Saccharomyces cerevisiae S288C: one gene and its partner. Each later gene encodes a partner of the first gene's protein in a complex. Each region holds a gene or a part of one and is shown in the gene's direction. Other genes may lie near its edges.

Region 1 (5,820 bases):
TTTAGGTTAACAAGCCAAAAGAAAATAAAAGTGTTCATTTTTCGTTATTTCTGGCCAAGCGATTTTGCAAGCCTCTTTGGCCAGCTCTCGCCAAGACTCCTAGTAAGAAATTGACAGATCTCAATGAATCATCGTTACCTGGGATAGGGTAGGTCACCAAAGAAGGTTCGGAGTCAGTATCGATGATTGCGATAGTTGGGACCCTTGATTTAATTGCTTCTAACAAAGCGTTTCTATTTTCTGTGGGATTTAATACGACCAGCAAGTCAGGCTTAACCTGCTTTGATGTTTCATTCGGTGATAACGCTCTTTCGGTGGGATTGTCATTAGAGTCGATTTCCTGCTTCTCCCAGATACCTGAAATTTCTGTAGAATTCGTCAAAGTACCCGGGATCCATCTGGTAGACACATAATAACCATGTGTCTTCTTAGCAGCTTCCTCGAGCCCTCTTTTCTGGCCTTGTCTTGTACCCAGAAATAGGATAATGCCACCGGATTCCGAAACGCCCTCTACTACCTTGGCGGCTCTCTTCAAATAGGACAAAGTTTGGTTTAGATCTATTATGTGAATACCTTTATATTCACCGTATATGTAGGATTGTGTGGAAGACCTCCAAAGTGAGGTAGACTGGCCCAAGTGAACACCAGCAGACATTAAGCTCTCAACAGTAATGTTTTCTGGGAGGGGCGGATAGAAAATGTCCTTATGAGGATAGTAAACCTTCGAAATAGTGGCACCCAATTTAGCGGTACGCATGGAATGGTTTAGTTGACGCAAGAAAAGTTCTTGAGAGGAATATGGTTTGTCATTGGCCGAAGGTATAAGGTTAGGGTAAGGCTTGGTTGGCGTGGCTGCTGCTGTCGTTGTAGAAGATTGTCCATCTAATGTCTTGCTGTCAAACAACTTGTTCAACAGAGCATAATTTCTGAAAAAGTCACTCAATTCAGCCTCCAGCTGCTGTTCTTTGTCAGAGAGTTTGTCTTGCTCTAATGACTTTTTCAACTCAGGTAATATTTCATCTTCTGGTACCTGAGATAGAGACTTCAATTCTGATCTAATTTCATCATACAAAAGTTTCTGTTGCAACAGCATCACCTCATCGTTATTGTTAGGGGTGTTGGCCGCACCGGATGCTGACGACTGAAACCTTTTGGTAAGGGAAGGGTTCCTCAATAAGGAAAGACGTCTGAAATTCCTCGCAAAAACGTGTCTCTGCATGAGAAAAGAGTCGTTTCTCACTTTTTATTTCTCGAATCACCTGTATTTGTGCCCCGCGATAATCAGGCTCTCGAGCGTATGTACACTTGCCAGAACTGATTATTATTTACCATCAAATATAGCAGTGACCTACGACATACAAATTTCATCTCTCGGATTCACTTACCGAATTGATTTTTTTCTTGCACTCTTTTCTGACCCGGCACGGCCTTTTCTTACCGAGATAAACAGGAAAATAGGGCAGTATGCGTGTGTTATACGTGAGAGAGAGCAAGCGGGTGAGTATTCGTTTCATTACAGTTTATGCATTAACATAAACGTATACATATTACACATACACATATACATAGATAGATACATATACGCATATATTAATGCTCAGGTGCAATAACGGGTGCAACAACAGCAGCAGCAGGATACAATATGCAGTTTGAAGAGCGGTTGCAACAGCTAGTAGAAAGCGATTGGAGCCTGGATCAGTCAAGCCCAAACGTACTGGTGATAGTCCTTGGAGACACTGCCAGGAAGTACGTAGAGTTAGGAGGACTGAAGGAGCACGTGACTACGAACACTGTGGCAGGTCACGTGGCAAGCCGGGAGCGGGTATCCGTAGTTTTTTTGGGCCGGGTAAAGTACTTATACATGTACCTCACCCGGATGCAAGCGCAGGCGAATGGTCCGCAATACTCTAATGTACTCGTCTATGGATTGTGGGATCTCACCGCGACACAAGATGGACCGCAACAGCTGCGGCTACTTAGCCTTGTGTTACGGCAGTGCCTCAGTCTGCCATCTAAAGTTGAATTCTATCCAGAACCGCCTTCTAGTAGCGTGCCTGCCCGGCTATTGCGATTCTGGGACCATATTATCAGATAGCTGCATTGTGTTACATGCGATATCGTAGAAGACGATAGAACGAAAAAGAAACGTTAATCTTTTTTTCCTTTTTTTTTCGATTAAAAAAAAAAAATTTTCGCCTCGTGGCCCGAAACACGGCCAAGAGAGGGAATTCGAAAGTCTACCGCTTTTGGCAGCTGAAAAATTCAGAAAGTCACCTGGCCAGAGAGGAAAAATACGAAACCAAAAAGAGGCATCCGTAAATTCGCATTAGCAACGCATGCTTACATAGATACTCACATACTACACACACTTACATACTTTCTTAAAGACATACATCCGTACGTACAATTAGAGCGAGGTAGCAAGCAACCCAAACTTCTTCCCTTCACTGCCTCACACCCCATCCTAAATATCCCACAAGATCCTCGACTAATACAAGAAATGAGCAATGATCCATCTGCTGTATCGGAACTACCAGACAAGGACAGTCTTGATAACGGTATCAGCAATGACAATGAAAGGGCCATGGGCGGCAATGGCGATGGCGGCGATGGATTACGATTACCAAGGACCACTGGAACTTTGAACGTCAATGCCTTACAAAAAGGCACTAATGCTGCCCATGAAGCTGGTGGATACAAATCCATGGATCCTGCGAAGAACGCGGAGACAACCAATGATGATGACAATAATGTCGTTTCACTAGATGATCCTATTCAATTTACCCGAGTATCTTCCTCCTCTGTCATCAGTGGAATGTCTTCATCCATGAGTCCTCATTCTAACATCGATGAAACCAAATCTCTAGAAGCAGTCACTCCAAACATAAATACCAGCAATATAACCCCGGATCATTCTGCTGACAACACATTTTCTACCATAAATGCGTCCGAGTCAGATCACCAGTTTAATGACACTTTACTATCAAAACTGTCGTTAACAGATTCTACAGAAACTATAGAAAATAACGCGACAGTGAAGCACCAGCAGCCAGTTGCATCTTCCACAGTAAACTCGAATAAGAGCTCCACTGATATACGAAGGGCTACACCAGTGTCCACTCCCGTTATCTCTAAACCATCGATGACAACCACGCCAAGACAGATCAATTCAGCTTCCCATTCGCTTTCGAACCCTAAGCATAAGCAACATAAACCAAAAGTTAAACCGTCCAAGCCTGAAGCAAAAAGTAAACCGGTTTCTGTGAAAAAAAGCTTTCCTTCGAAAAATCCTTTAAAAAACTCCTCTCCACCTAAAAAGCAAACAGAAAAATCGTATTATTCTTCCTCTTCGAAAAAAAGGAAAAGCGGTTCAAATAGTGGTACACTAAGAATGAAAGATGTCTTTACGTCCTTTGTACAGAATATAAAGAGAAATTCTCAGGATGATAAAAGGGCCTCATCGTCGTCCAATAATTCTTCCTCATCTTCTATAACCACCGCTTTGAGGATATCTACGCCATACAATGCCAAGCATATCCACCATGTGGGCGTGGACTCCAAGACTGGTGAGTACACAGGTTTGCCGGAGGAATGGGAAAAATTGTTGACTTCTAGTGGTATTTCCAAAAGAGAACAACAGCAAAACATGCAAGCAGTCATGGATATTGTCAAATTCTATCAGGATGTCACGGAAACAAACGGTGAAGATAAAATGTTCAAGACTTTCAACACAACCACAGGATTGCCGGGAAGTCCTCAAGTTTCAACACCGCCTGCAAACTCATTCAATAAATTTCCTCCGTCGACAAGTGATTCGCACAATTACGGTTCCAGAACAGGTACACCAATGTCCAATCACGTCATGTCTCCAACCTTAAATACAGATTCTAGTTCAGCAAACGGGAAATTCATACCAAGTAGACCGGCTCCTAAGCCCCCATCTTCTGCGTCCGCTTCAGCTCCAATTATAAAATCACCCGTCATGAATTCTGCCGCCAATGTTTCGCCCTTGAAGCAGACTCATGCACCTACAACTCCGAACAGGACCAGCCCAAACAGGTCCTCAATATCAAGAAATGCCACTTTAAAAAAAGAGGAGCAGCCACTACCACCAATACCTCCAACCAAATCCAAAACGTCTCCAATCATCTCCACAGCTCACACACCACAGCAAGTTGCTCAATCGCCAAAAGCGCCGGCGCAAGAGACGGTAACGACACCTACTTCGAAGCCAGCTCAAGCAAGAAGCTTGTCTAAAGAATTAAATGAGAAAAAGAGAGAGGAAAGGGAAAGACGTAAAAAACAACTATATGCCAAATTGAACGAAATTTGCTCAGACGGTGACCCAAGTACAAAATATGCCAATTTAGTAAAAATTGGTCAAGGTGCATCAGGTGGTGTTTATACTGCTTATGAAATAGGTACGAATGTCTCAGTGGCCATTAAGCAAATGAATCTCGAAAAGCAACCAAAAAAGGAGCTAATCATCAATGAGATTCTGGTCATGAAGGGTAGCAAACACCCTAATATAGTTAATTTCATTGATTCTTACGTTTTAAAAGGCGACCTTTGGGTCATTATGGAATACATGGAAGGTGGCTCCTTAACTGATGTGGTCACCCATTGTATTTTGACAGAAGGTCAAATTGGTGCCGTTTGTAGAGAAACTTTGAGTGGGTTGGAATTTTTACATTCTAAAGGTGTTCTTCACAGAGATATCAAATCCGATAACATCCTATTGTCCATGGAAGGGGATATTAAGTTAACGGATTTCGGTTTTTGCGCTCAAATCAATGAATTGAACTTGAAAAGAACTACTATGGTGGGAACGCCTTATTGGATGGCGCCTGAAGTGGTTTCTAGGAAAGAATATGGCCCAAAAGTAGATATCTGGTCGTTGGGTATCATGATCATTGAAATGATCGAGGGGGAGCCTCCATATTTAAATGAAACCCCGCTAAGAGCACTGTATTTAATTGCTACAAATGGTACACCCAAGTTAAAGGAACCCGAGAATCTATCGTCAAGCTTGAAAAAATTCCTTGATTGGTGTTTATGTGTGGAGCCCGAAGATAGAGCAAGCGCTACGGAATTGCTTCATGATGAATATATCACGGAGATAGCTGAAGCCAATTCCTCATTGGCCCCGCTAGTCAAGTTAGCAAGATTGAAGAAAGTAGCTGAGAACATGGATGCTGATGAAGATAATGACGACGATAACGACAACGAGCATATTAATAAGACAAACAATTGTGACGACAATAACGATAGCAAAGAAACCGTAAATTTGGACGTAACTGAAGATGATAAACAAAAGTAAACGTAGCAAGCAGGGTACACCTTATTATCGACAAAGTATATACACAGTTGTGACTGGCATAAAAATTCTTTTCATATATCTTATCGTGTATATTTGGACATTTTATAACACATCCCACTCTAATTCACAACTTCATTAACGAAATTTAAATAAATCACGACAACAGTTTTGCTTAAAACTGAGGAATATTGAAACCAACTCAAATTCTTCCTAATTTCAGGCGTATAAAAATAACAAAGTCTCATCGAGTGTCGGGTACCATTACACGAACATCTGTCTGCGTTCTATGTAACGAAGGAGAGGTATTATCCAATTTTGGAAATATCCGTAATATTGTCCTTAGTGCACGAACTATATTATCCCGCAAATTCAGGGAAAAGAAAAGAAGTAGAAAAAAAAAAATACCATGGGAGTCAGTTCTTGTTCAGCTGAGAGAATTACGCTTGTTTCTTATTTCCCACATATACGAGAAATTCCTACCGATATAACATCCTCTCTCG
Region 2 (4,897 bases), on another chromosome or scaffold:
TCTCTTGGATGACAAATTAGTTGGATTGCTTATGGGTTTAGCTGTCTTCCCGGGGTTCGGAGGAATTGATGATTGTTCAGGAAATTTACCTGTTTTAGTATTTGCTGGTGATTGTTTGTTTTGAGGTGTTAGTGTACGTCCACTCTCGGCTCTCAGCATGGCCTCTGTACGGTGGTATCCCTTTTTATTCAGGTACTCTAGGACAATTCTATTCAAGTCTGACGCCGAAAACGGACCATTGGACCTCCCCTGCTGTTGAGACTGGCCTTGACTCTGTTGCTGTGGCTGCTGGCCGGAATTGGCGCCAGCAGCATTATTAGTTCGTTGATTCTTTACTGGTTGTGGCTGATGCGTGCCATTTTGATTCTGATTCGTACTTTGCTTCTGTGACATTCTTATTTTTCAAGTATCTCAACTTGAACCCGGAGTTTCTCGTATCTTTTCTCCTTCTCTTTTCCTACCCTTATGCCTGCTTTATTGCTCTTTCTGCCACTTTGTAGACTTCATTTGAAATCTTGAAACTTTTTTGCTTTTGAACAATTCATCTGAACCCGTAAAAGATGATATTTACAGCTACTTTTACCCGGCTAAGGGGAGAATTCCATTCAACGGAACGAGCTCTATAAGACGTTCTCTAACTGCATGTAGTGAAATATTTTGAACCATTTGATATGCAGATACTTTCACGGTGTTGCACGGCTGTATAATATACAATAGGCCGTTACAGCAGAACACAATTTTTAGTTTAGACCCAACAAGGTGAACCATACGAACTGATATGAGGTTTCTTTCAAAAAGGATACTGAAACCTGTACTTTCAGTGATCATTCTAATATCGATTGCCGTAACCGTTGTTCTTTACTTTTTAACGGCGAATGAGAACTATTTGCAAGCAGTCAAGGATAGTGCCAAGTCCCAGTATGCTTCTCTCCGGGAGAGCTACAAAAGTATTACAGGTAAAACTGAAAGCGCTGATGAACTTCCTGATCATGATGCTGAGGTGTTAGATAGCATAATGGACAGGCTACACGAGCCCCTTTATGAAAAGGACACTTTTGACCCGAATGAAGTCCTTGCTGAAAATAAACAGTTGTACGAGGAGTTTTTACTTCAAGAAATTTCTGAGCCAAAGGTGGACAATTTGGTACGTAGCGGGGATCCGTTAGCCGGCAAGGCAAAAGGAACTATTTTGAGTTTGGTGAGAAATTCTGATTTAGAGGATATAATTTCTTCTATTCAACAGCTAGAAGAGGAGTACAATAAGAATTTTGGATATCCCTATACCTTCCTTAACGATGAGGAATTTACTGACGAATTCAAAGATGGAATAAAAAGTATTCTTCCTAAGGACCGTGTAGTAGAATTTGGCACTATTGGTCCAGATAACTGGAATATGCCTGATAGCATAGATAGGGAGAGATACGACCAAGAAATGGACAAAATGAGTAAAGAGAACATTCAGTATGCAGAGGTGGAATCCTATCATAACATGTGTCGTTTCTATTCTAAAGAATTTTACCATCATCCTCTGCTATCTAAATATAAATATGTGTGGAGATTAGAGCCAAACGTGAATTTCTATTGCAAAATTAACTATGACGTTTTCCAATTTATGAACAAGAATGACAAGATTTATGGGTTTGTTTTGAACCTCTATGATAGTCCGCAAACCATCGAAACGCTATGGACTTCAACTATGGATTTTGTCGAGGAACACCCAAACTATTTGAACGTCAACGGAGCCTTCGCATGGCTAAAAGATAACTCTCAAAATCCAAAAAATTATGATTATACTCAAGGGTATTCAACTTGTCATTTCTGGACCAATTTTGAAATAGTCGATTTAGACTTTTTGAGGTCAGAACCTTATGAAAAATATATGCAATATCTTGAAGAAAAGGGAGGATTCTACTATGAAAGGTGGGGTGATGCCCCTGTAAGAAGTTTGGCACTTGCTTTATTTGCGGATAAGTCAAGCATCCATTGGTTCAGGGATATAGGTTATCACCATACTCCGTACACGAACTGTCCAACTTGTCCAGCAGATTCAGATAGGTGTAATGGAAATTGTGTACCAGGCAAATTCACTCCTTGGAGTGATCTAGACAACCAAAATTGCCAGGCAACCTGGATAAGACACTCTATGTCTGAGGAAGAGTTAGAAATGTATTGAAGACATTAGCTTTGAGAATTTGTGCCGCTGCTTTCGAGAACGGCATCACATCTGGGGTTTTATGATTTAATTTAGGACGCACATAGATAGATATATATTATGGAATTAAGAAAAGTTTATAATGTAGCAACCTAAAAATGTTACAGGTGAACATTCATGGAAAATGAAATGTTTCTCAGCCAGTAGATAGTATTGTTGAAGGTATTATTGGTTTGAGAAAGCTACTCCTCAAAAATGTCACTTGATAATATGGAATTATAATGTCGTTATATTTTCAATCATTTCAATACAATATGGTAAACCGAAATCCAAAAACTTTACAATATCTCTTATCTATTGTTATTCGACATTCTTCCCGGGCCTTAACGGCTTCTTAACTAATATTACCCTAAACGGACAAATGGCGAAGGGCCCCATTCATTTACGAACAGGAAAAAAAGAAAGTGACAATACAGCCATAATTTGATGTACCATCTTAATCAGCATATGTTTTCACTAATATACTAAACCCATATGGATGCACGTTGAAAGCACTGTGTGAAAAGAAATTGTCAAGAAAGCCATATAAATGCTGAAAAACTTCAAACTCTCAAAAAGAGATAGTAATGGGTCGAAGGGCAGAATTACATCCGCAGATATTTCCACACCTTCTCATGATAATGGGAGTGTTATAAAGCATATTAAGACAGTACCAGTGAGGTACCTTTCTTCATCTTCCACCCCAGTGAAAAGCCAACGGGACTCTTCACCAAAAAACAGACATAATTCTAAAGATATTACTTCTCCAGAGAAAGTTATAAAAGCCAAATACAGTTATCAGGCACAAACTTCAAAGGAACTATCTTTCATGGAAGGTGAATTTTTTTATGTATCTGGAGATGAGAAGGATTGGTATAAAGCTTCAAATCCTTCTACTGGAAAAGAGGGTGTTGTCCCCAAAACCTATTTTGAAGTGTTTGATAGAACTAAACCTTCCTCTGTGAATGGATCCAATAGTTCAAGTCGGAAGGTTACAAATGATTCATTAAACATGGGATCGTTATACGCCATTGTTTTATATGACTTTAAGGCAGAAAAAGCTGATGAGTTGACAACTTATGTGGGAGAGAATTTGTTTATTTGCGCCCACCATAACTGTGAATGGTTCATTGCTAAGCCAATTGGTCGACTTGGAGGGCCCGGCCTTGTTCCTGTTGGGTTTGTTAGCATCATAGATATTGCCACGGGGTACGCAACAGGTAACGACGTAATAGAAGACATCAAGTCAGTTAACCTACCAACTGTTCAAGAATGGAAAAGCAACATTGCAAGATACAAAGCTAGTAATATTAGCCTTGGTTCTGTGGAGCAGCAGCAGCAGCAATCCATTACAAAACCTCAGAACAAAAGCGCAAAGCTGGTTGACGGTGAATTATTAGTGAAAGCATCCGTTGAATCCTTTGGGTTAGAAGATGAGAAGTATTGGTTTTTGGTTTGCTGTGAATTATCTAACGGTAAGACGAGGCAACTGAAAAGATACTATCAAGATTTCTACGATCTGCAGGTTCAACTTTTGGATGCGTTCCCAGCAGAGGCCGGTAAGTTGAGGGATGCAGGTGGACAATGGTCCAAACGTATAATGCCCTATATCCCTGGACCCGTTCCATACGTTACCAATAGCATAACAAAAAAAAGAAAGGAGGACTTGAATATATATGTGGCAGACCTAGTGAATCTTCCCGATTATATATCTCGCTCAGAAATGGTGCATTCCTTATTCGTTGTTTTGAATAATGGTTTCGACAGAGAATTTGAAAGAGACGAAAATCAAAACAATATTAAAACATTACAAGAAAACGATACAGCAACCTTTGCAACAGCATCTCAAACTTCTAATTTTGCCTCAACTAACCAAGACAACACTTTAACTGGCGAAGACTTGAAGTTAAACAAGAAACTCTCAGATTTATCTTTATCGGGCTCCAAGCAGGCTCCAGCCCAATCAACTTCTGGATTGAAAACTACTAAAATTAAATTTTATTACAAAGACGATATTTTTGCTTTAATGCTGAAGGGTGACACAACCTATAAAGAACTTCGTAGTAAAATCGCTCCAAGGATTGATACAGATAATTTTAAATTACAAACCAAATTATTTGATGGTAGCGGGGAGGAAATTAAGACTGATTCACAAGTCAGTAACATAATCCAAGCCAAACTGAAAATTTCCGTTCACGATATTTGAATCTAGTGTTAGAAGACGAAGCATTTTTCTTCTTTACTTGGCAGATGCACATAGGTTGAACATTTTAATCAACTTTATGATGATTTGCGAGAGTAATAAGATTCTCCCGAACAGTAATAATATTAAGGTATCCAATTCTTCCGAAACAGCGTGATTTGTAATAAAAATAAATAAGGACATATATGTATATAGAAAGTTGCTTAAACTTTTTAGACCACTTGGAAATATTTTTTATTTATATTTTTCTTCAAATGTAAAGTTGGGTACCTAAGCTTAAATTCACCTGAAAATGAATTATATGAAAGATTTTACACCACATGTAAAAAAAAACGTACAAAAAGCCAAATATTTCCACTCAATCATAATGCATGAATTATAGGTATTTTAAGTTATATTGCTGACGTAAAATTCAGAAGAGACTACAAGAAAAATTCTGAACATATTTATTCTTAAATATGCTTTTGTGCTTCCATATGTGTCAAAGGATAATGTGGCTCCCT

Evidence for each region. The genes of interacting proteins can lie anywhere in the genome.
Region 2: the proteins of STE20 (region 1) and BEM1 are in contact, whole or in part, in an NMR structure (PDB 2RQW), measured with the Saccharomyces cerevisiae proteins. Residues at the interface, in NP_011856.1 of Saccharomyces cerevisiae: Asn467 (codon at 3,899), Gly468 (codon at 3,902), Lys469 (codon at 3,905), Phe470 (codon at 3,908), Ile471 (codon at 3,911), Pro472 (codon at 3,914), Ser473 (codon at 3,917), Arg474 (codon at 3,920), Pro475 (codon at 3,923), Ala476 (codon at 3,926), Pro477 (codon at 3,929), Lys478 (codon at 3,932), Pro479 (codon at 3,935), Pro480 (codon at 3,938), Ser481 (codon at 3,941); in NP_009759.3 of Saccharomyces cerevisiae: Tyr164 (codon at 3,231), Phe166 (codon at 3,237), Glu169 (codon at 3,246), Lys170 (codon at 3,249), Ala171 (codon at 3,252), Asp172 (codon at 3,255), His188 (codon at 3,303), Glu191 (codon at 3,312), Trp192 (codon at 3,315), Ile194 (codon at 3,321), Pro204 (codon at 3,351), Leu206 (codon at 3,357), Pro208 (codon at 3,363), Gly210 (codon at 3,369), Phe211 (codon at 3,372), Val239 (codon at 3,456), Gln240 (codon at 3,459), Lys243 (codon at 3,468), Ser244 (codon at 3,471).

Annotation. Positions count from the first base shown.
Region 1 is NC_001140.6:94,618-100,437, reverse strand, and holds STE20 (mitogen-activated protein kinase kinase kinase kinase STE20), read left to right. Parts: upstream 1-2,500; coding exon 2,501-5,320; downstream 5,321-5,820. Other genes in the region: mitochondrial 37S ribosomal protein uS2m MRP4, read right to left, coding at 35-1,219; YHL005C (uncharacterized protein), read left to right, coding at 1,218-1,610; SHU1 (Shu1p), read left to right, coding at 1,643-2,095. UniProt on the Saccharomyces cerevisiae protein: MAP4K component of the MAPK pathway required for the mating pheromone response, haploid invasive growth and diploid pseudohyphal development. Links the pheromone response G-protein beta gamma subunits to downstream signaling components.
Region 2 is NC_001134.8:618,131-623,027, forward strand, and holds BEM1 (phosphatidylinositol-3-phosphate-binding protein BEM1), read left to right. Parts: upstream 1-2,741; coding exon 2,742-4,397; downstream 4,398-4,897. Other genes in the region: TAF5 (chromatin modification protein), read right to left, coding at 1-393; KTR4 (putative mannosyltransferase), read left to right, coding at 779-2,173; YBR200W-A (uncharacterized protein), read left to right, coding at 4,853-4,897.